Anolis sagrei: one gene and its partners. The protein of the gene in region 1 interacts with the protein of each later gene in a pairwise test. Links are inferred from orthologs where the notes say so. Each region holds a gene or a part of one and is shown in the gene's direction. Other genes may lie near its edges. The genes, in order: SH2D4A, TACC1, PPP1CB and SORBS3.

What was found.
Region 2: the proteins of SH2D4A (region 1) and TACC1 interact in binary tests that used the Homo sapiens proteins (3 or more experiments, as listed by UniProt). The two-hybrid records come from large-scale screens. The link is inferred for Anolis sagrei from reciprocal best matches to the Homo sapiens genes SH2D4A and TACC1.
Region 3: the proteins of SH2D4A (region 1) and PPP1CB interact in binary tests that used the Homo sapiens proteins (3 or more experiments, as listed by UniProt). The two-hybrid records come from large-scale screens. The link is inferred for Anolis sagrei from reciprocal best matches to the Homo sapiens genes SH2D4A and PPP1CB.
Region 4: the proteins of SH2D4A (region 1) and SORBS3 interact in binary tests that used the Homo sapiens proteins (3 or more experiments, as listed by UniProt). The two-hybrid records come from large-scale screens. The link is inferred for Anolis sagrei from reciprocal best matches to the Homo sapiens genes SH2D4A and SORBS3.

Annotation. Positions count from the first base shown.
Region 1 is NC_090026.1:55,294,544-55,301,639, forward strand, and holds the start of SH2D4A (SH2 domain-containing protein 4A), read left to right. Parts: upstream 1-4,096; 5' UTR 4,097-4,264; intron 4,265-4,345; exon of another isoform or gene 4,346-4,418; intron 4,419-4,513; 5' UTR 4,514-4,575; coding exon 4,576-4,741; intron 4,742-7,096. UniProt on the Homo sapiens protein: Inhibits estrogen-induced cell proliferation by competing with PLCG for binding to ESR1, blocking the effect of estrogen on PLCG and repressing estrogen-induced proliferation. May play a role in T-cell development and function.
Region 2 is NC_090027.1:2,516,263-2,523,671, forward strand, and holds the start of TACC1 (transforming acidic coiled-coil-containing protein 1), read left to right. Parts: upstream 1-4,398; 5' UTR 4,399-4,631; coding exon 4,632-4,804; intron 4,805-7,409. UniProt on the Homo sapiens protein: Involved in transcription regulation induced by nuclear receptors, including in T3 thyroid hormone and all-trans retinoic acid pathways. Might promote the nuclear localization of the receptors.
Region 3 is NC_090021.1:42,777,156-42,784,296, reverse strand, and holds the start of PPP1CB (serine/threonine-protein phosphatase PP1-beta catalytic subunit), read left to right. Parts: upstream 1-4,130; 5' UTR 4,131-4,502; coding exon 4,503-4,554; intron 4,555-7,141. UniProt on the Homo sapiens protein: Protein phosphatase that associates with over 200 regulatory proteins to form highly specific holoenzymes which dephosphorylate hundreds of biological targets.
Region 4 is NC_090027.1:1,016,635-1,024,158, reverse strand, and holds the start of SORBS3 (vinexin), read left to right. Parts: upstream 1-4,502; 5' UTR 4,503-4,585; coding exon 4,586-4,759; intron 4,760-7,524. UniProt on the Homo sapiens protein: Vinexin alpha isoform promotes up-regulation of actin stress fiber formation. Vinexin beta isoform plays a role in cell spreading and enhances the activation of JNK/SAPK in response to EGF stimulation by using its third SH3 domain.

The DNA of each region.
Region 1 (7,096 bases):
TATTTCCATATTTCGTCTTTTGGCTTTCTTAATTGGAGTAAACATTCTGTATTCAGGGGCTACCTTTTGCTCTGAAGTCAAACTAAATGAAGTCAAACAAGACAGAGGCACTCCTGGTCAGTTGTAAGGCCGAACAGGGCATAGGGTTACAGCCTGTGTTGGATGGGGTTACACTCCCTCTGAAGATGCAGGTTCACAGTCTGGGTGTGATCCTGGATTCATCGCTGAGCCTGGAACCCCAAGTTTTGGCAGTGACCAGGGGAGCATTCGCCCAGCTAAATCTTGTGCACTAGCTGTGCCCATACCTTTGGAAGCCTAACTTGGCTCTGGTTACATCTCGTATAGACTACTGTAATGCACTCTACGTGGGGTTGCCTTTGAAGACTGTCCAGAAGCTTCAAATAGTCCAATGGATGGCAGCCAGAATGCTAACAGGAGCGGCCCTCAGGGAGCATACAACTCCTATGCTGCACCAGCTCCACTGGCTGCCAGTCTGCTACTAGGCACAATTCAAAGTGCTGGCTTTAGTCTATAAAGCCCTAAATGGTTCTGGCCTGACTTACTTGTCTGAATGCATCTCCCCTTATGAACCATCTGGGCCTTAGATTCTAGGACTTTGAGATCGTCTGGGGAGGCCCTGCTCTCAATCCCGGCTTCATCACAAGTATGTTTGGCGGGGACGAGAGACAGGGCCTTCTCTGTGGTGGCCCCTCGGCTATGGAACACCCTCCCTAAGGAGATTAGATTGGCTCCCTCACTCTTAACATTTCGGAGACAAGTTAAGACATGGTTATATGAGCAAGCGTTTACAAATGCAGGGTAACTGATATAGGAAATGGAATCACTTGACAACGGATTTTGGACAACGTTTTTAACTAGGAGACACTAATGATCAAGGGTCTGGAGAACAAGCCCTATGAGGAGCGGCTTAAGGAGCTGGGCATGTTTAGCCTGAAGAAGAGATGGCTGAGAGGAGATATGATAGCCATGTATAAATATGTGAGAAGAAGCCACAGGGACGAGCAAGCTTGTTTTCTGCTTCCCTGGAGACTAGGACGCGAAACAACGGCTTCAAACTACACGAAAGGAGATTCCATCTGAACATGAGGAAGAACTTTCTGACTGTGAGAGCCGTTCAGCAGTGGAACTCTCTGCCCTGGAGTGTGGTGGAGGCTCCTTCTTTGGAAGCTTTTAAACAGAGGATGGATGGCCATCTGTCAGGGATGATTTGAATGCAATATTCCTGCTTCCTGGCAAGGGGTTGGACTGGATGGCCCATGAGATCTCTTCCAACTCTTTGATTCTATGATTCTATGGTGTTGGTTTTATTGTTTTTATTGTGATTTCATATTGTTCAATGCTTAATCGGTATTTTGCTATTATGTGTACTGACTTGTTGTAAACTGCTTTGAGTCGCCGATAGGCTGAGAAAGGCGATATACAAGTATAGTTAGTAAATAAATAAGTAATAAACTTTATTTATACCCCGCCACCATCTCGCCAATGGGGACTCAGAGCCGTTTACATGGGGCCAAGCCCGAATGACAAATTACAGCAAAATAAAACCAAAACATAAACAACAAGCAACATCATCAAAATTGCATTAAAAAAAGATATGAGTACAGTAACAAAATAACATTATAATAAACATAATCGCAGTAACAGTGGGTAGGTCACATGTACAGGATAAAATGTTAAAAAACTCTAATGAGATAAAAATAGGAGCAAGTTATTTGCAGGGAGCTCAAAAAGAAACACAGGGTTGTGAAACTAAACTTCCCATTTGGGGGAGGGGGCATGTACTCTAGTGACAGAAGCATTGAGGGGAGCAATAGGGTCATGTTGCACCTACTCACCAAAGGCGCAGCGGAAGAGCCAGGTTTTAAGGTTCTTTTTAAACGTTTCTAGTGTAGGGGCTTTCCTGATCTCTCCAGGTAATGAGTTCCAGAGTCAGGGGGCCACAGAGGAGAAGGCTCTTTCCCTCACTACGGTGAGGTGGATCAGTAATTGGTTAAATGGACAAACCCAGAAGGTGCTCACCAATGTTTCCTCTTCATCCTGGAAAGAAGTGACGAGTGGAGTGCCGCAGGGTTCCGTCCTGGGCCCGGTCCTGTTCAACATCTTTATTAATGACTTAGATGAAGGGCTAGAAGGCAGGTTCATTAAGTTTGCAGATGACACCAAATTGGGAGGGATTGCCAATACTCCAGAGGACAGGAGCAGGATTCAAAACGATCTTGACAGATTAGAGAGATGGGCCAAAACTAACAAAATGAAGTTCAACAGTGACAAATGCAAGATACTCCATTTTGGCAGGAAAAACGAAATGCAAAGATACAGAATGGGGGACGATGCCTGGCTCGAGAGCAGTACGTGTCAAAAAGATCTTGGAGTCCTTGTGGACAACAAGTTAAACATGAGCCAACAATGTGATGTGGGGGCAAAAAAAGCCAATGGGGTTTTGGCCTGCATCAATAGGAGCATAGTGTCTAGATCAGGGGTCCTCAAACTAAGGCCTGGGGGCCGGATACAGCCCTCCAAGGTCATTTACCCGGCCCTCGCTCAGGGTCAACCTAACTCTGAAACGATTTGAAAGCACACAACAACAACAACAACAACAACAACAATCCTATTTCATCAGCCAAAAGCAGACTCACACTTCCCACTGAAATACTATTAAGTTTACATTTGTTAAAATTGTTATTCATTTTAATTATTGTATTGTCTTGTTAAGGGTTTTTTTGCAATACATATAAGATATGTGTAGTGTGCATAGGAATTAATTCATGTTTTTTTTTTTCAAATTATAATCCGGCCCTCCAACAGTTTGAGGGCCCATGACCTGGCCCTCTGTTTAAAAAGTTTGAGGACCCCTGGTCTAGATCTAGGGAAGTAATGCTACCCCTCTATTCCGCTTTGGTTAGACCACACCTGGAATATTGTGTCCAATTCTGGGCACCACAATTCAAGAGAGATATTGACAAGCTGGAATGTGTCCAGAGGAGGGCGACTAAAATGATCAAGGGTCTGGAGAATAAGCCCTATGAAGAGCGGCTTAAGGAGCTGGGCATGTTTAGCCTGAAGAAGAGAAGGCTGAGAGGAGATATGATAGCCATGTATAAATATGTGAGAGTAAGCCACAGGGAGGAGGGAGCAAGCTTGTTTTCTGCTGCCCTGGAGACTAGGACGCGAAACAATGGCTTCAAACTACAAGAGAGGAGATTCCATCTGAACATGAGGAAGAACTTCCTGACTGACAGCCGTTCAGCAGTGGAACTCTCTGTCACGAAGTGTGGTGGAGGCTCCTTCTTTGGAAGCTTTTAAACAGAGGCTGGATGGCCATCTGTCAGGGGTGATTTGAATGCAACATTCCTGCTTCTTGGCAGGGGGTTGGACTGGATAGCCCATGAGGTCTCTTCCAACTCTTTGATTTTATGATTCTATGAAACTAAACTTCCCATGAGGCAGTGACAGAAGTGTTGAGGGGAGCAATAGTGTCATGTTGTCCACCTACTCGCCAAAGGCGCAGCGGAAGAGCCAGGTTTTAAGGTTCTTTTTAAACGTTTCTAGTGTAGGGGCTTTCCTGATCTCTCCAGGTAATGACTTCCCGAGTCGGGGGGCCACAGAGGAGAAGGCTCTTTTCCTTGTGCCCACAAGACGGGCTTGTGAAATTGGCAGGGGCGAAAGGAGGGCCTCCCCGAAGATCGAAATAAATAAACATCAATGCAATGAACCTGTCCGTTTAAAAATGTAAATAGCAGTTGTGTGTGTGCAGAGGGGGAAGCATCAAAGCAGCCTTTACACCACACTATTGATCCGATCAGAACCTCATTCCCACCCAGTTCTGCTATTTTCACCCTTATTCATGCTGGGAACTCTGGTGTGTATTTCCGTTCACGCAGAAGATAAATTATATCTCACTCCTTGACACTGGTGTTTACTGACATTGGCCCTATCACTTTTTCTGTGGGCGTTTGGCACCGGCCAGAACTTTACTTTCTTAAGATTTGTGAGACAGGAAAGGGTTAGGGTTCACCTCTTTACAAGCCATCCCTTCACTTCCTGGTCTCATAACAGAACGGCTTGCTGAGTCAGAGAGGTAAGCCACACCTGTGACTTTAGCAGCCAGTGCTTAAAAGCAGAGGGGACTTCCACGAGGCATCAGATCTGAACACTCCTCTCTGGTCCTCGTTGCGGCTGCTTTATATTCATTACCTTGAACAAACGCCCTGCTTATTCCAGGACACAAGGGCTCGGTTTTGGTGTAAGTGTTGCCAAGTCTTCCTTTTCTTTGTGTTCTTTGAGCTCTTTGTTTACTTTGTCAGTCCTTGCAGGAAATCCAAGAGCTAAAAGTAGGTTGCAGTCGCCGTGAGAGTAATTGCGATGTGGAGAGCCTGCATTCCTGCTGTATCTTAAGGGTGGGGAGAGATTTTTGTCTCCCCTTTGGCCACTGATGTGTTTCTGCTGGAAAGGCGGCAGAGAAAGTGACTTCTTCCTTCTCTTCTCTCCTCAGATCAGCCTTCTCTTCTTCTTGCTCCTACTCCTTCCTCTCTGTGAGAAGCTTCTTCTACAACCATGCTGAAGCAAATCCTGGCCGACATGTATGTGGACCCAGAGCTGCTGGCAGAGCTCAGTGAAGAGCAAAAGCAGATCTTGTTCTTCAAGATGAGGCAGGAGCAGATCCGAAAGTGGAAGGAAAGAGAAGATGTGGCCACTGTGCCGAAACCAGTGCGGAAGGCAGGTCAGTGTGTGAGCCCAGGAGGAAAATGGGATTATCTAGCCTGGCTTCAGAAGGAGTAAAGAAGGCTGAGAGGGGACATGATAGCCGTGTTTTAATATCTGGAAGGATGTCACATTGAGGAAGTTGCATACTCGTTTTCTTTTGTTTTGGGGATTAGGATGCGGATCAACGGATTCAAATTCAAATTGCAGGGGAAAAGATCATAATAATAATCTCTCCGTTCTTGTGGGTTTTTTCGGGCTATATGGCCATGTTCTAGAGCAGTGGTTCTTAACCTTCCTAATGCCGCGACCCCTTAGTACAGGTTCCCACGTTGTGGTGACCCCCAACCATAATGTCATTTTCATTGCTACTTCTTTAATTTTGCTACTGTTGTGAATCGTAATATAAATATCTGATATGCAGGATATATTTTCATTCACTGGACCAAATTTGGCACAAATACCCGAAACGCCCCAATTTGAATACTGGTGGGGTTGGAGGGGATTGATTTTGTCATTTGGGAATGTTGGAATTGCTGGGATTTATAGTTCACCTAAAATCAAAGAGCCTTCTCAACTCCATCAATGATGGAATTGAATCAAATTTGGCACACAGAATTCCCATGGCCAAGAGAAATACTGGGAGAGTCTGGTGGACACTGACCTTGAGTTTTTGGAGTTGTAGTTCACCTATATCCATATCACACTGTGGACTCAAACAGTGATGGATCTGGATCAAACTTGGCACAATATACCCAAATGTGAACACTGGTAGAGTTTGGATAAAATAGACCTTGCCATTTGGGAGTTGTAGCTGCTGGGATTCATAGTTCACCCACAATGAAATAGCATTCTGAACCCCACCAATGATAGAATTGGACCAAACTTCCCATGCAGAACACCCATGACAAAGAGAAAATGTTTCCTGATGGTCTTTGGTGACCCCTCTGACACCCCCTCGCGACCCCCACAGGGGTCCCGACCCCCAGGTTGAGAACCACTGTTTTAGAGGCATTTCTCCTGACGTTTCGCCTGCATCTATGGCAAGCATCCTCAGATAATATAATAATAATAATAATAATAATAATAATAATAATAATAATAAACTATTTAAAAACAGCAATATCAGAGATCAAAAGCCCGTCGAAACAGATATGTCTTCCATGCCCTGCGGAAAGTTGATGTCCCGCAAGGCTCGGACTTCAGGTGGCAGAGTATTCCAGAGTGATGGTGCCACTGCTGTAAAGGCTCTGCGTCTGGTTGCTGTTAGACGCAAGGTCTTGACACGGAATTTCCAATAAATCTTGGTCCTCAGAACGGAGGGATCTCTGGGGTTGGTAGGGGGTGAGGCGGTCCCTCAGGTACATCGGCCCTAGATGTAGGGCCTTAAAGGTGAGTACCATCACTTTGAAAATATAATTCATACACACAGAGATATAGTATTATAATAATAATAATAATAATAATAATAATAATAATAATAACAACAACAACAACAACACTTTATTTGTACCCTGCTACCATCTCCCCAATGGACTCGGTGCGGCTTACATGAGGCCGAGCCCAAACACAACAATACAAGCAATAATAACAACAATACAAGCAATTAAAAAAACATAGACAATAAAATACACAACATTATCAATAAAACAACACATAATTAAAAACAGTGGGAAGGCCAAATGTAGAGTTAAAATTGGAAATAATGCTGGGACATGAACGAAAGGTGATACTGGTGTTTGTGGAAGGGCATACGAGCAGACTTAAAGATATGTAAAGTGCTATGGGATCATTATTCCGGGAAGGCACACTGGAACAGCCACATCTTCAAGCTCCTCCTGAAGACTGCCAGAGTTGGAGCCTGTCTGATGTCTTTAGGGAGTGAGTTGCAGAGTCGAGGGGCCACCACCGAAAAGGCCCTCTCTCTCCTCCTCACCAATCGCGCCTGCGATGCTGGTGGGATCGAGAGCAGGGCCTCTCCGGATGATCAAAGGGATCGTGTGGGTTCGTATACAGAGATGCGGTCACGCAGGTAGGCGGGTCCTAAACCGTTCAGGGCTTTGTAGGTAAGAACCTGCACCTTGAATTGGGTCCAGTAGATGAATGGCAGCCAGTGGAGCTCCTTGATTCCATCTACACTTTAGGAAGAACTTCCTGCCAGTAGTGGAATATACAATAATAATAATAATAATAATAATAATAATAAAACTTTATTTATATACCGCTTCATCTCCTTGAGGGGACTCAGAGTGGTTCCCAGGTAACATCACAAAACATACAAAGTAAAAACAACATAACCATAAGTGGGTTGTTGTAGGTTTTTTCGGGCTATATGGCCATGGTCTAGAGGCATTCTCTCCTGATGTTTCGCCTG
Region 2 (7,409 bases), on another chromosome or scaffold:
ACCCACCACGACACACGTTGCTGTGGCCAACCTTCCCTCGCTCTTTCTCTCCTTCTTTCCCTTCTTTCTTCGCTCTCTCTTTCCTTCCCTTTTCTTCTTTCCTTCTCTCCTTCCTTCCTCCTCTATCTCTTTCCTTCCCCCTTTTTCTTTTCCTTCCCTTTCTCTCCTTGCTTCCTTCTCTACCTCTTTTTTTCCTTCCTTCACTTTTTGCTTCCATCCTTCCGTCTTTCCTTCCCTCTTTCTCTCCTTCTTTTCCTTCTTTCTTCACTCTCTTTCCTTCCCTTTTCTTCTTTCCTTCTCTCCTTCCTTCCTCCTCTATCTCTTTCCTTCCCCCTTTTTCTTTTCCTTCCCTTTCTCTCCTTGCTTCCTTCTCTACCTCTTTTTTTCCTTCCTTCACTTTTTGCTTCCATCCTTCCGTCTTTCCTTCCCTCTTTCTCTCCTTCTTTTCCTTCTTTCTTCACTCTCTTTCCTTCCCTTTTCTTCTTTCCTTCTCTCCTTCCTTCCTCCTCTATCTCTTTCCTTCCCCCTTTTTCTTTTCCTTCCCTTTCTCTCCTTGCTTCCTTCTCTACCTCTTTTTTTCCTTCCTTCACTTTTTGCTTCCATCCTTCCGTCTTTCCTTCCCTCTTTCTCTCCTTCTTTTCCTTCTTTCTTCACTCTCTTTCCTTCCCTTTTCTTCTTTCCTTCTCTCCTTCCTTCCTCCTCTATCTCTTTCCTTCCCCCTTTTTCTTTTCCTTCCCTTTCTCTCCTTGCTTCCTTCTCTACCTCTTTTTTTCCTTCCTTCACTTTTTGCTTCCATCCTTCCATCTTTCCTTCCCTCTTTCTCTCCTTCTTTTCCTTCTTTCTTCACTCTCTTTCCTTCCCTTTTCTTCTTTCCTTCTCTCCTTCCTTCCTCTATCTCTTTCCTTCCCCCTTTTTCTTTTCCTTCCCTTTCTCTCCTTGCTTCCTTCTCTACCTCTTTTTTTCCTTTCTTCGCTTTTTGCTTCCATCCTTCCTTCTGTCTTTCCTTCCCTCCCTCTTTCTCTCCTTTCTCTCCTTTCTTCGCTCTCTCTTTCCTCCCCTTTTCTTCTTTCCTTCTCTCCTTCCTTCTCTATCTCTTTCCTTCCTTCCTTCCTTCCTTCCTTCACTTTTTGCTTCCATCCTGTCTTTCCTTCTTTCCTTCCCTCCCTCCCTCTTTCTCTCCTTTCTTTTCTTTCTTCGCTCTCTTTCCTCCCCTTTTCTTCTTTCCTTCTCTCCTTCCTTCCTTCTCTACCTCTTTCCTTCCCCCTTTTTCTTTTCCTTCCCTTTCTCTCCTTGCTTCCTTCTCTATCTCTTTTCTTCCTTCCTTCGCTTTTTGCTTCCATCCTTCCATCTTTCCTTCCCTCCCTCTCTTCTTCTTTCCCTTCTTTCTTCGCTCTCTCTTTCCTTCCTTTTTCTTCTTTCCTTCTCTCCTTCCTTCCTCCTCTATCTCTTTCCTTCCCCCTTTTTTCTTTTCCTTCCCTTTCTCTCCTTGCTTCTCTACCTGTTTCCTTCCTTCCTTCGCTTTTTGCTTCCATCCTTCCTTCTGTCTTTCCTTCTTCCCTCCCTCTTTCTCTCCTTGCTTCTCTACCTCTTTCCTTCCTTCCTTTGCTTTTTGCTTCCAGACCCAGACCTTGTGAAACTACAACTCCCATGACTCCATAGTTGTTATAGTGGTGTCTTTTAATGTAGATAATCTCCCAATGTTTGCATGGCTCCATGCTATGGGAGCTGTAGTTTGTCGAGGCTCGAGCAATAATTAGCAAAGAAGAGACCCCCTAGACCTTGTCAAACTACAACTCCCAGGATTTCATAGCAATTGCTGTGGCGTGTAGATATACCCTATATTTGCATGGCTCAGTGCTATGGAATCCTGGGAGCTATAGTGGTGGCAAAGAAGACTCCAGTCCATGTGAAACTACAACTCCCAGGATGCCAGAGAAGTTACAGTGATATCCTTCAATGTAGATAAACTCCCAATAGTTGCATGGCTCCATGCTATGGGAGTTGTAGTTTGTCGAGGCTCCAACACTAATTAGCAAAGAAGACCTGCCTAGACCTTGTCAAACTACAACTCCCAGGATTTCATAGCAGTTGCGGCAGTGTGTAGAGACACCCTATATTTGCATGGCTCAGTGCTATGGAATCCTGGGAGCTATAGTGGTGGCAAAGAAGACTCCAGACCTTGTGAAACTACAACTCCCATAGTTGTTATAGTGGTGTCTTTCAATGTAAATAAACTCCAAATGCTTGCATGGCTCCATGCTATGGGAGCTGTAGTTTGTCGAGGCTCCAGTACTTATTAGCAAAGAAGACCCACCAGACCTTGTGAAACTGCAACTCCCAGGATGCCATAGAAGTTATAGTGATATCCTTCAATGTAGGTAGATTCCCAATGTTTGCATGGCTCCATGCTATGGGAGCTGTAGTTTGTCGAGGCTCCAGCACTAATTAGCAAAGAAGACCCACCATACCATGTCAAACTACAACTCCCAGGATTTCATAGCAGTCGTGGTGGTGTGTAGAGACACCCTATATTTGCATGGCTCAGTGCTATGTTTGCAAAGAAGACTCCAGACCTTGTGAAACTACAACTCCCAGGATGCTAGAGAAGTTACAGTGGTATCCTTCAATGTAGATAAGATTCCCAATATTTCCATGGCTCCATGCTATGGGAGCTGTAGTTTGTCGAGGCTCGGGCACTAATTAGCAAAGACCCCCCCAGACCTTGTGAAACGACAACTCCCAGGATTTCATAGCAGTTGCGGTGGTCTGTAGATATACCCTATATTTGCATGGCTCAGTGCTATGGAATCCTGGGAGCTATAGTGTTTGCAAGGAGGACCCACCAGACCTTGTGAAACTACAACTCCCAGGATTTCATAGCAGTTGCGGTGGTGTGTAGATACACCCTATATTTGCATGGCTCAGTGCTATGGAATCCTGGGAGCTATAGTGTTTGCAAGGAGGACCCACCAGACCTTGTGAAACTACAACTCCCAGGATTTCATAGAAGTCACTGTGGTGTGTAGATACACCCTATATTTGCATGGCTCAGTGCTATGGAATCCTGGGAGCTATAGTGTTTGCAAGGAGGACCCACCAGACCTTGTGAAACTACAACTCCCAGGATTTCATAGAAGTCACTGTGGTGTGTAGATACACCCTATATTTGCATGGCTCAGTGCAATGGAATCCTGGGAGCTATAGTGTTTGCAAGGAGGACCCACCAGACCTTGTGAAACTACAACTCCCAGGATTTCATAGAAGTTACTGTGGTGTGTAGATACACCCTATATTTGCATGGCTCAGTGCTATGGAATCCTGGGAGCTATAGTGTTTGCAAGGAGGACCCACCAGACCGTGTGAAACTACAACTCCCAGGATTTCATAGAAGTTACTGTGGTGTGTAGATACACCCTATATTTGCATGGCTCAGTGCTATGGAATCCTGGGAGCTATAGTGTTTGCAAGGAGGACCCACCAGACCTTGTGAAACTACAACTCCCAGGATTTCATAGCAGTTGCGGTGGTGTGTAGATACACCCTCTATTTGCATGGCTCAGTGCAATGGAATCCTGGGAGCTATAGTGTTTGCAAGGAGGACCCACCAGACCTTGTGAAACTACAACTCCCAGGATTTCATAGAAGTTACTGTGGTGTGTAGTTACACCCTATATTTGCATGGCTCAGTGCTATGGAATCCTGGGAGCTATAGTGTTTGCAAGGAGGACCCACCAGACCTTGTGAAACTACAACTCCCAGGATTTCATAGAAGTCACTGTGGTGTGTAGATACACCCTATATTTGCATGGCTCAGTGCTATGGAATCCTGGGAGCTATAGTGTTTGCAAGGAGGACCCACCAGACCTTGTGAAACTACAACTCCCAGGATTTCATAGAAGTTACTGTGGTGTGTAGATACACCCTATATTTGCATGGCTCAGTGCTATGGAATCCCGGGAGCTATAGTGTTTGCAAGGAGGACCCACCAGACCTTGTGAAACTACAACTCCCAGGATTTCATAGAAGTTACTGTGGTGTGTAGATACACCCTGTATTTGCATGGCTCAGTGCTATGGAATCCTGGGAGCTATAGTGTTTGCAAGGAGGACCCACCAGACCTTGTGAAACTACAACTCCCAGGACTCCATACCCCAGAGCCATGCAATTAGAAGGTGTATTTCCATTGAAGAATGGCAGTTCCAGTAGCGTGGAAGTCCATTCCTGCCAGGGTGTCAAATGCAGCCTGGGAGTGAGTCACGTGTCGGGGGGCCACCTCACGTCTGAAGGGGGCCCCTCCCTCCCGGCCAATCAGGGCCTGCCTTTCCTCTCTGCTCCGGGGCGGGAGGGGGGGGGAGCGTTTTGACGCAGCGGGCCCCGCCCCCGCTGCCTGGCTGCTTGCACGCGTTGGGCGACGTAACGTGTGAATGCGGGCTGGGCGGGCGAAAGGCGGGTTCGGAGGAGGCGGGACCGAGGCAGGCCGGCTCCTTGGGCATCCGTCAGAGGGTCCCTGCCTGTCTTGCCTTGCGAGGCGGAGTCAGAGGAGGAGGAGGAGGAGGAGGAGGAGGAAGGATGGCGCTGGGCTGAACCACATCCGCGCCGGATCCGCTCCATTTTGACGCCGTGTGGCCCCGATGGCGTTCAGCGCCTCCTGGCAGCTCCTCTCGCCGGTCCAGTGGGCCAAGTGGACCTGGTCCGCCGTCCGAGGAGGAGGGGGGGCCGCAGGGGGAGGGGGGTCCGGACCCGAGGAAGAGGAGGAAGAGGAAGAAGAAGAGGCTCAAGGAGAGACCCGCTCGCTCAGCCTCAGGCAAGTCCCGCGTCAGCGCGCTCACACGTGACGCGTGTACACTCGCGTGTCAGCCAAGGAGGGGGAGGAGAGGCGCGCTCACACGTGACGCGTGTACACTCGCGTGTCAGCCAAGGAGGAGGAGGAGAGTGCGCTCACACGTGACGCGTGCACACTCGCGTGTCAGCCAAGGAGGGGGAGGAGAGCACGCTCACACGTGACGCGTGTCAGCCAAGGAAGAGGAGGAGGGCGCGCTCACACGTGACTCATGCACACTCGCGTGTCAGCCAAGGAGGGGGAGGAGAGCACGCTCACACGTGACGCGTGTACACTCGCGTGTCAGCCAAGGAGGAGGAGGAGAGTGCGCTCACACGTGACGCGTGTACACTCGCGTGTCAGCCGAGGAGGAGGAGGAGAGCGCGCTCACACGTGACGCGTGCACACTCGCGTGTCAGCCAAGGAGGAGGAGGAGAGAGCGCTCACACATGACGCGTGTATACTCGCGTGTCAGCCAAGGGAGGGGGAGGAGAGAGCGCTCACACGTGACGTGTGTACACTCGCGTGTCAGTCATGGAGGGGGAGGAGAGCATGCTCACACGTGACACGTGTACACTCGCGTGTCAGCCAAGGAGGAGGAGGAGAGTGCGCTCACACGTGACGCGTGTACACTCACGTGTCAGCCAAGGAGGAGGAGGAGAGCGCACTCACACATGACGCGTGCACACTCACATGTCAGCCAAGGAGGGGGAGGAGAGCATGCTCACACGTGACACGTGTACACTCGCGTGTCAGCCAAGGAGGAGGAAGAGAGTGCGCTCACACGTGACGCGTGTACACTCACGTGTCAGCCAAGGAGGAGGAGGAGAGCGCGCTCACACGTGACGCGTGTACACTCGCGTGACAGCCAAGGAGGAGGAGGAGAGCGCGCTCACACGTGATGCGTGTACACTCACGTGTCAGCCAAGGAGGAGGAGGAGAGCACGCTCACACATGACACGTGTACACTCATATGTCAGACAAGGAGGAGGAGGACAGCGAGCTCACACATGACGCATGTACACTCGCGTGTCAGCCAAGGAGGAGGAGGAGGGCACGCTCACACATGACGTGTGTACACTTACGTGTCAGCTGAGGAGGGGGAGGAGAACGCGCTCACACGTGACACGTGTACACTCGCGTGTCAGCCAAGGAGGGGGAGGAGAGGCGCACTCACATGTGACACATGTACACTCGCGTGTCAGCCAAGGAGGAGGAGGAGAACGCGCTCATACGTGATGTGTGTACACTCGCGTGTCAGCCAAAGAGGAGGAGAGCGCGCTCACACGTGACGCGTGTACACTCGCGTGTCAGTCGAAGAGGAGGAACAACAACAACATCCTAATGGGTGTGCTCCAGCTTGCAAGCAGGCTCAAGGCGCATCCCTATACCGGAGAATGGATGGGCTCCTCTGGAATGCTATTTGGTCCTTGGGAGTTGTAGTTTAGTGAGAGGCTGGGTGCAGAAGGAATGCTCCTTTGGGGTCCCCCTTGGGTGCATCTCCATTGAGTTTTTCAGGAGAGATTGGGGGCATCTCCATAGGAGAATAAATGCAGCTAGACTCAACTTGCATTGCCCTGGCTCAGTACTATGTGAGTTGTAGTTTTTTGAGGAGGTATTGTGTGTGTCTTCAATGCTATATGAGCCTGACAGTTGTAGTTTTGGGAGGTATTGTGTGCATCTCCATTGGAGAATGAATTCAGTTTGATCCCCCTTTGAAATTACCCTGGCTCAATGCTATGGGAGTTGTAGTTTTGGGAGGTATTGTGTGTGTTCAATGCCATTTGATCCCAGAAGTTCTAGTTTGGGGAGGTATTGTGTGCATATCCATTGGAGAATCAATGCAGATCGACTCTACTTGAATTGTCTTGGCTCAATGCTGTGGGAGTTGTAGTTTGGGAGGTATTGTGTGTGTCTTCAATGCTATTTGAGCCTGACAGTTGTAGTTTTGGGGGGTATTGTGTGCATCTCCATTGGAGAATGAACTCAGTTTAATCCCCCTTTAAACTGCCCTGGGTCAGTGGTATGGGAGTTGTAGTTTTTTGGGAGGTATTGTGTGTCTCTTCAATGCTATTTGAGCCTGACAGTTGTAGTTTTGGGAGGTATTGTGTGCATCTCCTTTGGAGAATGAACTCAGTTTAATCCCCCTTTAAACTGCCCTGGCTCAATACTATGGGAGTTGTAGTTTTGGGAGGTATTTGTGCATCTGCATTGGAGAATGAATGCCGATCGACTACACTTGAATTATCCTGGTTCAATGCTATGGCAGTTGTAGTTTGGGGAAGTATTGTTTATATCTCTACTATAGAATGAATTCAGTTCAATGCTCCATTGAATAGCCTTGGCTCAATGCTATGGGATATGGGAGTTGTAGTTTAATGAGAAATTGAGTGCATCTCCATTGTAGAATGAATTATTATTATTATTATGTTTATTTATTATAATAATAATTCATTCTATAATGGAGATGCACACAATCACACATTAAACTACAACTCCCATAATCACATAGCATTAAGGCCTGCTGCTCCTGGGAGTTGTAGTTTAATGAGTTTGGGGAGGTATTGTGTGCAACTCCATTGGAGAATGA
Region 3 (7,141 bases), on another chromosome or scaffold:
CTCCCCCCTCACTGAGCCTGCAAAGTGTTTTAAACCAGAGTGGATGAATTTCCTCCCTTTGCTTCTCCCCCCCCCCCCCTTCTGGAGTAAAACAACTACTTTCAAAGTAAAGACCACCCAATGAAACAGGAAATAACACTTTCAAACCATTAAGGATGAATTTGGAAGTCTCGGAAGTTTTTTGAAAAGTTTTGAACATCTTTTTCTGTGAAAATCGGAATTGACTTTAGAATTGAACCACCAGCACCCCCTACATCCGAAATGAGTTTTGAACCATTTTTTAAAATTAAGCCTAGTAGCTATGAAGGAACTAGATAAGATCTTGAAATGTCAAGATGTATTATTGCGTACTAACATTAGTATTGTCCACACCATCATATTTCCAGTTTCTATGCATGATTGTAAAAGTGAAGTAAGCTGATAGGAAGATAATGAACTCATTGAAATGTGATGTTGGAAGAGTTCTGTGAACATCCTGGGCTTCTCAAAAGACAAATAAATGTGTCCTTCAGCTGACTAAACTGAGAATGCCATACTTTGTCCATATCACGAGATGATACAACTCATGAGAAAATGCAGTAATATTTGCTAAGTTAGAAGGCAGTAGAAACAGAAGAAGATAGCATTACAGGTGGATAAACACAGTCGAGGAAGACTTGGCTCTGAGTCTGCAGGCCTGTTGAAAACGGTGATTTGGAGGTCTCTCATTCAGAAGGTTGCCATAAGGTGAGGTTGACTTCACAGCAGTTAACAATAAACCACAAAACCCTTGTGCTCAAAAAGTTAGTGACAAATATTTATTATGCAGCTATACAGACAGTGGAAAAAATCTGGATAGGTGCCACACCCTTGATACAATCATACATTTTCTAGTGGTGAAAGAAACTGTTTTAGTACTTCCTTTTCGTAAAAGAAAAAATAAGTGTGATGATGTAAGATGAAAGCAGACGAGGAAAAGAGATATAGGAAAAACTATGATCACAAAAGCACAGTTGTGGAAAGGGAGGGGGAAAAGTTTATGATTAAGATTGTTATGTATAGAGGAATGTATGGGGGAAAGGGGAAATCCTCCGACATTACAGGGAAACCCCAGGTTACAAATAAGATAGAATCTGTAGGTTATTCTTAAGTAGGGATTTGTATGTAAGCCAGAATGGGTAATTTTTTCAAATGTAATGCTATCCCAAATTGGTTTTTTAAAATTTAGGATAGTATAAGGAAGGATTAACACCCTCTAACATTTGTTTTGCTGTCTGTGCCCCTATTTAGTAGATTTCACCTCACTTTTTATCCCTTTTTCGATTTTGAAAAATTTGGGTTGTCGTGGAAACAAGGATTGGTGATAAGAATGGAGATACTTTTTTCACATGATAACTCTTCCAGGAATTGATTTTCCTCCCTGAAGGAAGATTTATTCTCACTTCCTGTTGCCTCACCCCAGGGATGTTTGTAATTTGGGGACTGCCTGTACAACCGTCGTAGCAGTATTATCATAAATAAATAATAAAAAACGAGAGGGAAATCTAATCTGATCATATACTTCACATTGTTTCACTAGTCGTGTCCTTAAGAATCTTGGCCAATGCTTACCCTATACCAGTAGTTCCCAACCTGTGGTCCGTGGACCACCAGTGGTCTGCAAGAATGAAAATATGGTCCGCGGTCTCACCATTACTACACCATTGCCTCAAAATCACGTGGCAACGAGAACGACTGGTCTCACAAAACACTCTTATAGTGCCGAGGCAACGGGGATGTTGGGAGGGGAGTGGCTGACTATCCACGAAAGATTACTACTACCACATCAGCTCTAGATTATTAAATATGGTTTTCTGTGGGCGAGCAGATGGCAACTACTGGATGGCATATGTTATGTATCAGAAACTAGAGTTGATGTGGTCTATCCAATGCAATTTTCTGAATCAGCACTCCAAATAGCTAAACCAAATCTAAAGTTGACCAAAAACCAATTCGTAACCCTTTTGGTACTAATGTTGGAGAGTGATCCCTGATCAAAGTGGCTCCTGATCAAAAAGAGATTGGGAACCACTGCCCTATATACTTAAATCCCTGATCAACCATCCGAACCATTTAGTATATTGCTCATTTGGTGTTAAGCAGGGAACTTGAAAAGAAATTGTTTGTTTGCTAGCATCCCAGATCTCTCTTATTAATTCAAAATCCCCTTGTTTCACATAATGAAGGTTCCTGCATAACATTTCTTTCTTTCTTCTTCCAGAGCAATTTGTTTCCTCTAACACTTCTTTTGCTCAACCAGCCTTTCATATTGGAGATGAGTATATACAGACTGATATTTCAACAACCAAGGAATCTCATAAATATTGATATTAGGGATGAGGACTTCATTGTGAGAGGTGCTGCCTGGAGTGAAAAAGGACACCTTTGATTTTACTAAGTATTAAATTATACTAACTGTTGAGGATGACAGACTCTCCATCTTTGGAAGTCTTTAAATAGGAGTTCCTTAGCAGTTGTACTCCCCCATATTTGGGGTTAGACTAGAGGGCTCTTTCAGTTCGAATAAGGTGAACTTTCCGGCTTTCTCATAATATGAGGCAATCATCTTTAAACATGCTGTAATATTCCTTCCCAAAGTGCAGAGTGCACACAGTGCTTGTTTTTCTTCTGAGAGAAAATAGATTTGTTGCTGTACTTAAAAGGATATAATCCTATTTTAATTCAAATTGAATTAGCTTTCCAGAGCAACTGCCTCTAATTTCTCTGATAAAAAAAGTGTTGTGTGCTTTTTCTTTAAATGTCATACAAAATAATATTTCCTCCCCTTACTTTTTTGGATAATGCATAGCTGAAAGCGAGGAGGAGTTGAGAAACCTTATAACTAAGGTGAAAGAAGAAAGTGCAAAAGCTGGGTTGCAGTGTTGTGTGGAAGGGGCCTATGAGTCCACACCGGACATGGGCAAACTTTGGCCCTCCAGGTGTTTTGGACTTCAGCTCCCACCATTCCTAATAGCCTTCAATGGGGGTTTTTTTAAAGCTGTGTGGAAGTGGCCTATGAGTCCACACTGCCATATAATCCAGCTCAGTGTGGATTGTATTCAGGTGTGGATTGTGTCCAGATGTGTGGAAAGAGCCATGAGTCTACACTGTCATATAATCCATCTCAATGTGGATTTTATACAGCTGTGTGGAAGGGGCCATTAAAGGGGCCATGAATTGTCGAAGACTTTAATGCCCAGAATCACTTGGTTGCTGTGAGTTTTCAGGGCTGCATGGCCATGTTCCAGAAGCATTCTCTCCTGACGTTTCGCCAGCATCCCCACTTTCCTAGTTTCCATCTGAGGATGCCTGCCATAGATGCCGGGGAAACATCAGGCGAATCATAGAATCAAAGAGTTGGAAGAGACCTCATGGGCCATCCAGTCCAACCCCTGCCAAAAAGCAGAAATATTGCATTCAAATCACCCCTGACAGATGGCCATCCAGCCTGTTTAAAAGCTTCCAAAGAAGGAGCCTCCACCACACTCCGGGGCAGAGAGTTCCACTGCTGAATGGCTCTCACAGTCAGGAAGTTCTTCCTCATGTTCAGATGGAATCTCCTCTCTTGAGGAAGCCACAGGGAGGAGGGAGCAAGCTTGTTTTCTGCTTCCCTGGAGACTAGGATGCGGAACAACGGCTTCAAACTACAAGAGAGGAGATTCCATCTGAACATGAGGAAGAACTTCCTGACTGTGAGAGCCGTTCAGCAGTGGAACTCTCTGCCCCGGAGTGTGGTGGAGGCTCCTTCTTTGGAAGCTTTTAAACAGAGGCTGGATGGCCATCTGTCAGGGGTGATTTAAATGCAATATTCCTGCTTCTTGGCAGGGGGTTGGACTGGATGGCCCATGAGGTCTCTTCCAACTCTTTGATTCTATGATTCTATTTGCCGCATAAAACACGCTTGGCCTGCACCTTTATTAAACCCGACTAGGCCCCAAGACCTCGGTTACCAGGATACACAAGAAAAGAGGGGGGGGGGGGAAGAGAAGCAGAGGACAGGACTCGAAGCGTCACGCATGCGCACCGCTCACGGATCGCTTGGGGAGTAAGCACAACACAGCACCGCTCTCGCGCATGCGCAGTGCTGCTTTACAAAAGGGAGGGGGAAGGGAAAGGAGGGGGAAAGGGAGGCTTGGTCTTTTTGGAGTCGAACCCGAGATTCTCCCGCGCAGTTGAGAGGCGAAAGAGGGAAGGACTCCGAGGCGCATGCGCAGCGAGGCCTAAGGCAGGCGGGGAGGAGAAGGAGGAGGAGGAGGAGAGCGGGGACCTCGTCGTCTTCTTCTCCCTCTCTCTCTCTCTCTCTCTCTCTCCCTCCTCCCTGTTTGGCGGAGCCGGTGGGAGATCCCGGGGCGGGAGGGGTCCTTGCAGGGAGCGGCCGCCTTCCCCGCCTCCTTCCTTCCTTGTCTTCGCTGAGGCGCCCTCCTTCTTCCCTTCCTTCCTTCCTTCCGTCCCCGCCCGCGACTGAGGAGTCCATTGGCTACAAAATGGCGGACGGGGAGCTGAATGTGGATAGTCTCATCACCAGGCTGCTGGAAGGTGAGTGACTGACTGAGGGAGTGAATGAAAGAGCTTTGGAGGGAGGGAGGCCCAAGAGGGGTCCCTCAAACAGAGGGGAAGGCGGCAGTCGCATTTGCCCCTGCGTATTGCGGGTTTGTGTCGGTTATTCCCCGGCGAGGGGCGAAGTTATTCCCTTTTTCGGTAGTTTCTCGCCTCAAACGTCTCCTGCGAGGCGGCCTCTGCTTTGACTCCGGTTTCAGCCAAAGAGGAGGTAGTTGTAGGAGATTGACGCTGTTGTAAATGGGGGGAAACACCTTATACTGATTGAAGATCCCTTACCCTAAATGCTCAGGGCTCAGAAGTATTTTTTATAAATTGATTTTGGAATATTTGCATATACAGAATGACATATCATGAGGAAGGGAAGAATAAGTTTATTGTACATAAACACCTTACGCACATAAAGTTTATACAGGTCGAATATCCCCTTGGCCTAAATTTGCTGGACCAAAATTTACATTAAAAAAGATCTTGTTTTGGAATACTTGCAGATATAGAGTGAGTTACCTTAGGACCCTTCACACAGCGCTATATCCCAGAATGTCAAGGCAGAAAATCCCACAATATCTGTTTTGAACTGGGTTATCTCAAAAGTTTTGAACTGGGTTATCTGAGGAGCCCCCAGTGGCACAGTGGGTTAATTTACTTTGCTTGTATACCGCAATTTCTCAGCCTTGTAGGCGACTCAACGCGGTTTACAACAAGAGCAAAAGTCAATCCAGCAGCATACAAAATTTTAAAACCATTAACAGCATAATAAACAAAATGACATATCAATAACAACACATTAACGTCTCGTAACTAGAATCGTGATCCAATTCGTCTTCCATAATTCCGTTTCCTATATTCATCGTGTACATTGCATTGTTTAACCGAACGCCTGTTCGAACAGCCAGGTTTTTAGTTTTCTTCGAAACACCATTAACGAAGGGGCTGATCTAATGTCCATGGGAAGGGCGTTCCACAGCCGAGGAACCCCTGTGCCGGCAGGACTGAAGACTGACAGGTCGCAGGCTTGAATCCAGGGAGAGGCGGATGAGCTCTCTCTATCAGCTCCAGCTCCTCGTGCGGGGCCATGAGAGAAGCCTCCCACAAGGATGATAAAAACATCAAATCATCCAGGCGTCCCCTGGGCAACGTCCTTGCAGACAGCCAATTCTCTCACACCAGAAGCGACTTGAAGATTCCCAAGTCTCTCCTGACACGACCAAAAAAACCCTGGGTTATCTGAGTCCACACTCAGATATTATTATTAACTTTATTTATACCCCACAAAATCTCCCGAAGGACTCGATGCGGCTTACAAAGGCCAAGGCCACCAACAAAACAACAGCATACAAATACAACAGTGAAACTCATAAAGCAACTAATAAACATCAAGCAAACAATAAAACACTAAAAACAATAACACCATAACGCATTAAAAACCTAATGTAATAGACAAAATTTAAAAGTGCTGGACTTGAACAGGTGATATGTAGAGGTTTTTGGAGGTAAGTGCAATGTGCAGACAATCCTAAATCTCTGACAAGGTGCATTTGGGACATAATGCCGGGAGTTTCCTATTCTGGAAAGGCACACTGGAACAGCCAGGTCTTCAAGCTCTTCCTAAAGACTGCCAGCGTTGGGGCTTGTCTGATGTCCTTGGGGAGAGAGATAATTTTTCTGCCTTGATGTTCTGGGATATAGGGCTGTGTGGAAGAACTCTAAGACTGGCCTTATATCCCAGGATTTAAACTATTATATGAGTCTGCACTGCCAGATAATCTGGGATAAACAGAAAACCCAGATTCAGACCCTGGGATACAATAATAATAATAATAATAATAACAAAGGTGGTCCCAGTGGTGGTCAGCACAGTGCCTGAAGACCTCGGCCTGCACTTAAAAACAATTGGCACTGACAAAATTACCATCTGTCAGCTGCAAAAGGCCACCCTACTTGGATCTGCACGCGTTATTCGCCGATACATCACACAGCCCTAGACATTTGAGAAGTGTCTGACGTGTAATCAAATACAAAAGCTAGCATAGTGCTCTTGTTCTCTGTGTACTAATCTTCTGTATCATATAATAATAAATTTTATTTATATCCCGCCACCATCTCCCAAAAGGGCCTTTGGGCAGCTTACGAGGCACTACAAGTGGAATATATAACATGCAGATTTTTATTATTTTATTTCATTTCATTTCATGTATTTGATTTTGTATTAATTTGTTTTGTTTATATTTCATTTGACATTATTTACTGTATGTATTTTATTTTGATTTGTTGTATTTGTAGTGCTTGGCCTCATGTTAGCCACCCTGAGTCCCCATTCGGGAGATGGTGGCGGGGTATAAATAAATTGTTGTTTATGATGATGTTGTTGTTATAAACAGTACATGAGCATAAAAATAATATCACGTAAAGTCATAAAACAACCACTATTAACACATAAAATAAAATAAAACAGTTTTAAAACTCAGACCACCTGTAGTTAAAACTAGTTGCCTTCAAATCACAACTAAAGGACCCATCTGGAAGGGCCCTTTGTATGAAATTAGTTGATGTTACATAGACACTG
Region 4 (7,524 bases), on another chromosome or scaffold:
CATCCAAGAACACACACGGTCTGGTGCCTTTTGGATATTTTGGTGCCTTGTGTATTTTATCTGTGTCTTATCAGTGCTATCCTGGAAGTACTTTTTGCTCACATAGCTTATGCGTTGGAATCTTCAGGAAATGTTCAAGAACACATTGCTTTGGAATGTGGGATCCCAGGGGACCGCTTCTCGATGCCTCCGGTCACAAACGGCAGGGCTTGGATCCATTTCTGGGCTTCCCATCAGGCCCTTGTCTGGCAGCCAAATGGAGGCATTGCCGTCTCTGATTCCCATGGAAGGAATGATGCGGCCTCAGGAGCACCCCTCTCCAAGGGATGATTAGATAACATGCGCAAAACAGGGGTGTGGCGGCACATTGGGAGCCATGCAGGAAATACGCAGAGAGAATAGAGCTCTGGACACGTCCAGTTCCACATGTTCCCAGCAAAAAGCTTCGGAAATCAAATGGTGGGGAATGAACTTAAACAGGGAAAATCTATCCCTTTTTTTTTTGTCCAAACTGACCTCTAGATCGGAGCTTCCCAAACATTCTTAGGCATGCATCGCAACATGGCGATTCAGTTTTACTTGCAAACCGAGGGTTCAACCAACCCCCTTATATCAGTGTTTCTCAACCATCCTAATACTACAACCCCTTAATATAGTTCCTTAATATGTTGTGGTGACCCAAAAGCATAACATTATTTTTGTTGATACTCCATGACTGCAATTTTGCTCCTGTTATGAATCGTAATGTAAATATGCTGATATGCAGGATGTATTTTCATTCACTGGATCACATTTGGCACAAAGACCCGATATGCCCAATTCTATGATTCTATCCCACAGGTCAAAGGCCACAGGTCCGAACAGGTATCCCCCAGCTTCACCAACTGGGAGTGACTCTCCGGGAAGAAGCGGAGCCACTGCAGTCTACAAAGATAGCCTCCCTCCAATATAGTCAGACTCAAGATGGGGATGTGGCAGGATAAATGGGCCTTTCCATTGCAAAGCTGCCCAAGGGAGCTTCTCACACCAAAAATGATGCCAGGGAGTTAAAGGAGCAAGGCGGAGAAGCAAGCCGTCTTCCCACAGCTGGTGCATTGCCCACAGCAAGGTCACTGCCTGGCCACGTTCCTGTGCCAGCGCAGGGGGTGCATGCCTGTTGTGTCTGGCCTTCCGCTGTGACAATGCAACCCATTTCACATTAATTATTCAGCCCCAAACAAGGCTGTACAGTGTGCTCCGTTGCACAGCTGCATTCCTGCCCGGGCGCATAAGACCGGACGGGGGAGGAGAGGGAGCCAAGGTTTCTGTGTGGGCAACAAACTCATACACTCCTAGAGTTCGAGGAGACCACAAAGTCCGTCCAGTGTGCAACCCTTTCTGCCAGGCAGGAACACACAATCAAAGCAGGCCCAACAGATGGCCATCCAAGCCTACAAAAACTGCACCAGACTCCAAGGTGGAAACTCTGTCAGGAAGTTCTTCTTAATGCAATGTTCCTCATCCTTCCTAATGCCGCGACCCCTTAATACAGTTCCTCACGTTGTGGTGACCCCCAACCAGAACATTCTTCATAAATATGTTTTTGCTGTTGTTATGAATTGTAACGGCGCTCCATGCAGCCATGCCCGCCACATGACCTTGGAGGTGTCTACGGACAACGCTGGCTCTTCGGCTTAGAAATGGAGATGAGCACCACACCCCAGAGTCAGACATGACTGGACTTAATGTCATGGGACAACCTTTACCTACCTATGAATTGTAATGGAGATATCTGATATGCAGGATCAGGCCCGTAGCCAGGATTTTGATTCAGGGGGTGCTGAGTTTGGCCCATTTCTATCATTGGTGGGGTTCACAATGCTCTGTGATTGTAGGTGAACTATAAATCCCAGCAACTACAACTCCCAAATGTCAAGATTCTATTTTCCCAAACCTAAGCAATGTTCACATTTGGGCATATTGAGTATTTGTGCCAACTTTGGTCCAGATCAATCGTTGTTTGAGTCCACAGTGATCTCTGATTGTAGGTGAACTACAACTCCAAAACCAAAGGACTCTGCCCATCAAACCCTTCCAGTATTTTCTCTTGGTCATGGGAGAACTGTGTGCCAAATTTGGTTCAATTCCATCGTTGGTGGGGTTCAGAGTGCTCTTTGATAGTAGGTGAACTATAAATCCCAGCAAACTACAACTCCCAAATGACAAAATCATTTTTTTTAGTGAAGGACATACATTGGGTTGTTAGGTGTCTTGTGTCCAAATTTGGTGTCAATTTACCCAGTGGTTTTTGAGTTCTGTTAATCCCACAAACGAACATTACATTTTAATGTATATACTAGCCGTCCCCTGCCACGCATTGCTGTGGCCCACATGGGGGTTCTGTGTGGGAGGTTTGGCCCAATTCTATCATTGGTGGAGTTCAGAATGCTCTGTGATTGTAGGTGAACTATAAATCCAAGCAACTACAACTCCCAAATGTTAAGATTCTATTCCCCCCAAACTCCACCAGTGTTTACATTTGGGCATATTGAGTATTTGTGTAGAGTTTGGTCCAGATCTCTCATTGTTTGAGTCCACAGTGATGGGAGAACTGTGTGCCAAGTTTGGTTCAATTCCCGCGTTTGTGGGGTTCAATATGCTCTTTGATTGTGGGTGAACTATAAATCCCAGCAACTACAACTCCCATATGACAAAATCCATTTTTTGAGTGATGGTCACTCCTTAGGTTAGTAGGTGTCTTGTATCCAACTTTGGTGTCAATTCGCCCAGTGGTTTTTGAGTTCTGTTAATCCCACAAACGAACATTACATTTTTATTTATAGACTAGCCATCCCCTGCCACGAGTTGCTGTGGCCCAGTCTGTGTATATATGTTTTGGGTGTGTGTATATGTGTGTATAAGGTAAAGGTAAAGGTAGTCCCCTGACATTAAGTCCAGTCATGTCTGACTCTGGGACTCTGGTGCTCATCTCCATTTCTAAGCCGAAGAGCCAGCGCTGTCCGTAGACACCTCCAAGGTCATGTGGCCATTGGCATGACTGCATGGAGCGCCGTTACCTTCCCGCCGGAGCGGTACCTATTGATCTACTCACATTTGCATGTTTTCGAACTGCTAGGTTGGCAGAAGCTAGGGCTGACAGCAGAAGCTCACGCCACTCCCTGGTATCGAACCTGTGACCTTTCGATCAACAAGCTCAGCAGCTCAGTGCTTTAACCCACTGCGCCACCGGGGGCTCCATATGTGTGTATATATTTGTGTATATGTGTGTTTGCGTATATATATGTGTGTGTGTGTGTGTGTATGTGTGTGTGTGTGGTTTTGTGCATGCATTGTAATGTATTTTTTCAGTGTTTTTCTGAGTGATGGTCACTCGTTGGCCTGAGAGGTGCCTTGTGTCCAAATTTGGTGTCAATTCGCCCAGTGGTTTTTGAGTTACGTAAGTCCCACAAACGAACATTACATTTTTATTTATAGACTAGCCGTCCCCTGCCATGAGTTGCTGTGGCCCAGTCTGTGTATATGTGTTTTGGGTGTGTATATATGTGTGTATATATTTGTGTATATGTGTGTTTGCGTGTGTGTGTGTGTGTGTGTGTGTGTGTGTATATATATATATATATATATATATATATATATATATATATATGTGGTTTTGTGCATGCATTGTAATGTATTTTTCAGTGTTTTAGGAGTGATGGTCACTCGTTGGCCTGAGAGGGGTCTTGTGTCCTAATTTGGTGTCAATTCGCCCAGTGGTTTTTGAGTTACGTCAATCCCACAAACGAACATTACATTTTTATTTATAGACTAGCCGTCCCCTGCCACGAGTTGCTGTGGCCCAGTCTGTGTATATGTGTTTTGGGTGTGTATATATGTGTGTATATATTTGTGTATATGTGTGTTTGCGTGTGTGTGTGTATATATATATATATATATATATATATATATATATATATATATGGTTTTATGCATGCATTGTAATGTATTTTTTCAGTGTTTTTCTGAGTGATGGTCACTCGTTGGCCTGAGAGGTGCCTTGTGTCCTAATTTGGTGTCAATTCGCCCGGTGGTTTTTGAGTTACGTCAATCCCACAAACGAACCTTACATTTTTAGGTTCTTGTGGGTTTTTTCGGGCTATAGAGCCATGTTCTAGAGGCATTTCTCCTGACGTTTCGCCTGCATCTATGGCAAGCATCCTCAGAGGTAGTCAGGTCTCTGAGGATGCTTGCCATAGATGCAGGCGAAACGTCAGGAGAAAAATTGCCTCCAGAACATGGCTCTATAGCCCGAAAAAACCCACAAGAACCTAGTGATTCCAGCCATGAAAGCCTTCGACAAGACATTAAATGTTTATTTATAGATATGGAGTTACACTTAGAAAATGTACCTGTTCCGACTTACATACAAATTCACCCGAGGAACAAACCTACAGAACCTATCTTGTTCATAACTTGGGGACTGTATTAAAGCCACCCTCTCCTTTTGTTACCCACCCAGGGCATCTCGTCTAGTGAGCGTCATCCTCGTCTTGGTCCTGGAGGCCCTCTCTCCTCCTCCTCCTCCTCCTCCTCCATCGCAGCAGAGATGCCCAGCCTCATCTCTAGGGCCGGGGCCCCCGAGGCCAACCTGGGACTCAGCCTGGACGACTTCATCCCTTCGCACCTCCAGAGGAGCTCCCCGTTTGCCCACAGCTCCAGCCTGATATCTCCTCAGGCCACATCTACTCCGCAAGGCAGTCAAGTCCCTTCGCGACGCAGGGTGAGTTTTGGGGAACTTGCCACACAAACATTTCAGAGAAACAGAGTCGTTTGTTTCCCAAGGGTTCGTCTACACTGCAAAAGTAATGCAGTTTGAACCCACTTAAACATGTTATGGAATCCTGGGGGTTGTGCTGGTGCTTCACCAAACTACAACTCCCAGGATCCCACAGCATTGACTGTGTAGACATGGGCAAACTTGGGCCCTCCAGGTGTTTTGGACTTCAACTCCCACAATTCCTAACTTACTTACTTAGGCGATCCCTTATAGTCCGAGGATGATGGTCCTCCAAGGTAGGTGTTCTGGTTGTGGGCCCATAGGTGACTGTGGAGCCCAATTCTTGATCTGCATCTTCTCCCACAGTGAGGGCATTGGTTTCCAGATGGAAGGCCAGTGGTTCTCAACCTGGGGTCCCCAGATGTTTTTGGCCTACAACTCCCAGAAATCCTAACAGCTGGTAAACTAGCTGGGATTTCTGGGAGTTGTAAGCCAAAAACATCTAGGGACCCCAGGTTGAGAACCACTGCGGTAGGCGGTCCTGGTCAGGGTTGGTTTGATACGCCTTCCTCTTGGCATGTTTCTCTCTTTCACCCTCCATTCGTGCCTCTTCAAATTCTGCAGCACTGCTGGTCACAGCTGAACTCCAGCTGGAGTGATCAAGGGGCAAAGATATCCCAGTTCTCAGTGTCTGTGCCAGGGTTTTTAAAGTTGGCTTTGAGCCTATCTTTCAATCTCTTTTCCTGCCCACCAACATCTGTTTTCCGTTCTTGAGTTCAGAGTAGAGCAACGGCTTTGGGAGACGGTGGTGGGGCATCCGGATGATGTGGCCAGTCCAGCAGAGTCGATGGCAGAGGAGCATCACTTCAATGCTGGTGGTCTTTGCTTCTTCCAGCATGCTGATATTGTCCGCTTGTCTTCCCAAGAGATTTGCAGGATTTTCCGGAGGCAGCGCTGATGGAATCGTTCCAGGAGTTGCATGTGACGTCTGTAGACAGTCCATGTTTCGCAGGCATAGAGCAGGGTTGGGAGGGGAATGGCATCTTGGTCTCCCTACAGATGTCCCGGTCCTCAAACACTCTCTGCTTCATTCGGGAAAATGCTGCACTCGCAGAGCTCAGGCGGTGTTGTATTTTGGTGTCGATATTGACTTTGGTGGAGAGGTGGCTGCCAAGGGAGCAGAATGGTCCACATTTTCTAATGTTACACTATTAAGCTGCATTTCTGGCATTGGAGAGGGTTGGCTGGTGACTTTTGCTGGAAGAACACATTGGTTTTCTCGATGTTTAATGACAGGCCGAGCTTCTCATATGCTTCTGCGAAGGTGTTTAGAGTGGCTTGTAGGTCTTCTTCTGAATGCGCACAGACGATGTTGTCATCAGCATACTGGAGTTCTATGTAGTTGTAATTTTAGTTTTTGCTTTCAGTCTGCTGAGATTAAACAGCTTGCCATCTGTCTGATAGATGGATTGTTGTAGGTTTTTTTGGGCTATATGGCCATGTTCTAGAGGCATTCCTCTAGAGAATGCCTCTAGAACATGGCCATATAGTCCAAAAAAACCTACAACCCAGTGATTCTGGCATGAAAGCCTTCAACAATACATTGTCCAATAGATGATTTCCACTCCAGTGGGAAGCTTCCCATCAACAAGATGAAGTATCATAGCGATGAAGATGGAGAATAAGGTTGGGGCAATAACACATCATCCCTGTTTGACACCCGATTCCACCTTAAATGGGTCACTTTGGGAGCCATTGCTGTCCAAGACTGTTGCCATCATGTCATCATGGAGGAGCCGCAGGATTTTCACAAATTTTTTAGGGAACCCAATTTTTTGGAGGCCCAGAGAGCGCTGTTAGGAATTGTGGGAGTTGGAGTCCAAAATACCCAGAGGGCGCATGTTTGCTCATACCTGATGTAGATTGTGCCGTTGCGCCTGGGGGCTCTTATTCTCAATAAAGGAGGGATGGACGTGGCACCTTTCCCCCAGGGGATTGTTTCTTGCCCTCCTATAGGAAACTGGAACTCCCAAAAACCCAAAACGCTGTAAATAGCTCAAAATAAGTTTTATTTATCACAAAGTCATTTCTTTAAAGCAATGAGCTGGAAAACTTTAGAGGGGTGAAGGAAAACATATATTACAGTCTCAATCAGTCCTGGGTCCAAGGGGTTTGAAGCTGAGAAGCCTCTCCAAGTTTCCTCTTTCCTCAATGGCTGTGAATGCTGGGGCAAACCACAACCCCAGTTCAGATGGCCTATGTTTTGAAGATTCGGGATCTTCCTTTGGTGCCAAAAGAACCGACTTGAAGGCGCCTGGGTCTCCTCAATAATTGTCCAGGATGATCTGGACATAAAGCATGAGTCCCAGGGGTAAAAAACCTCAGAACTGATGCTAAGAGGTAACTTAAATCAGGGTCCTTTAGAATCAAGTCTTTTACTCATGTCCATCTGGTACGAACTCTGATGGCAGAATGAAGAAGAAAAAGGAAGTTCTCCCCTCTTGCAGGAAGAGGTGGAGCCAAACAGTACTGATTGACAGCTACAAGCAACCAATCCATACAACTATACATAAGCAGTGTTAAAAAGGGGCAGGATTAAGCATGATACAACAGTTTAAGTCTTACAACTAACAGTTCTATACATAGGTGGTGCCACTCGCACCGTCACAAGATGCATTCATAGTCTGCAATCCATACTCGCCAATCTGCGACAAAAATTGCAATGTTTTGTGCTGTGTCCCATTGTGAGCAACCAGCCATACCCTTCC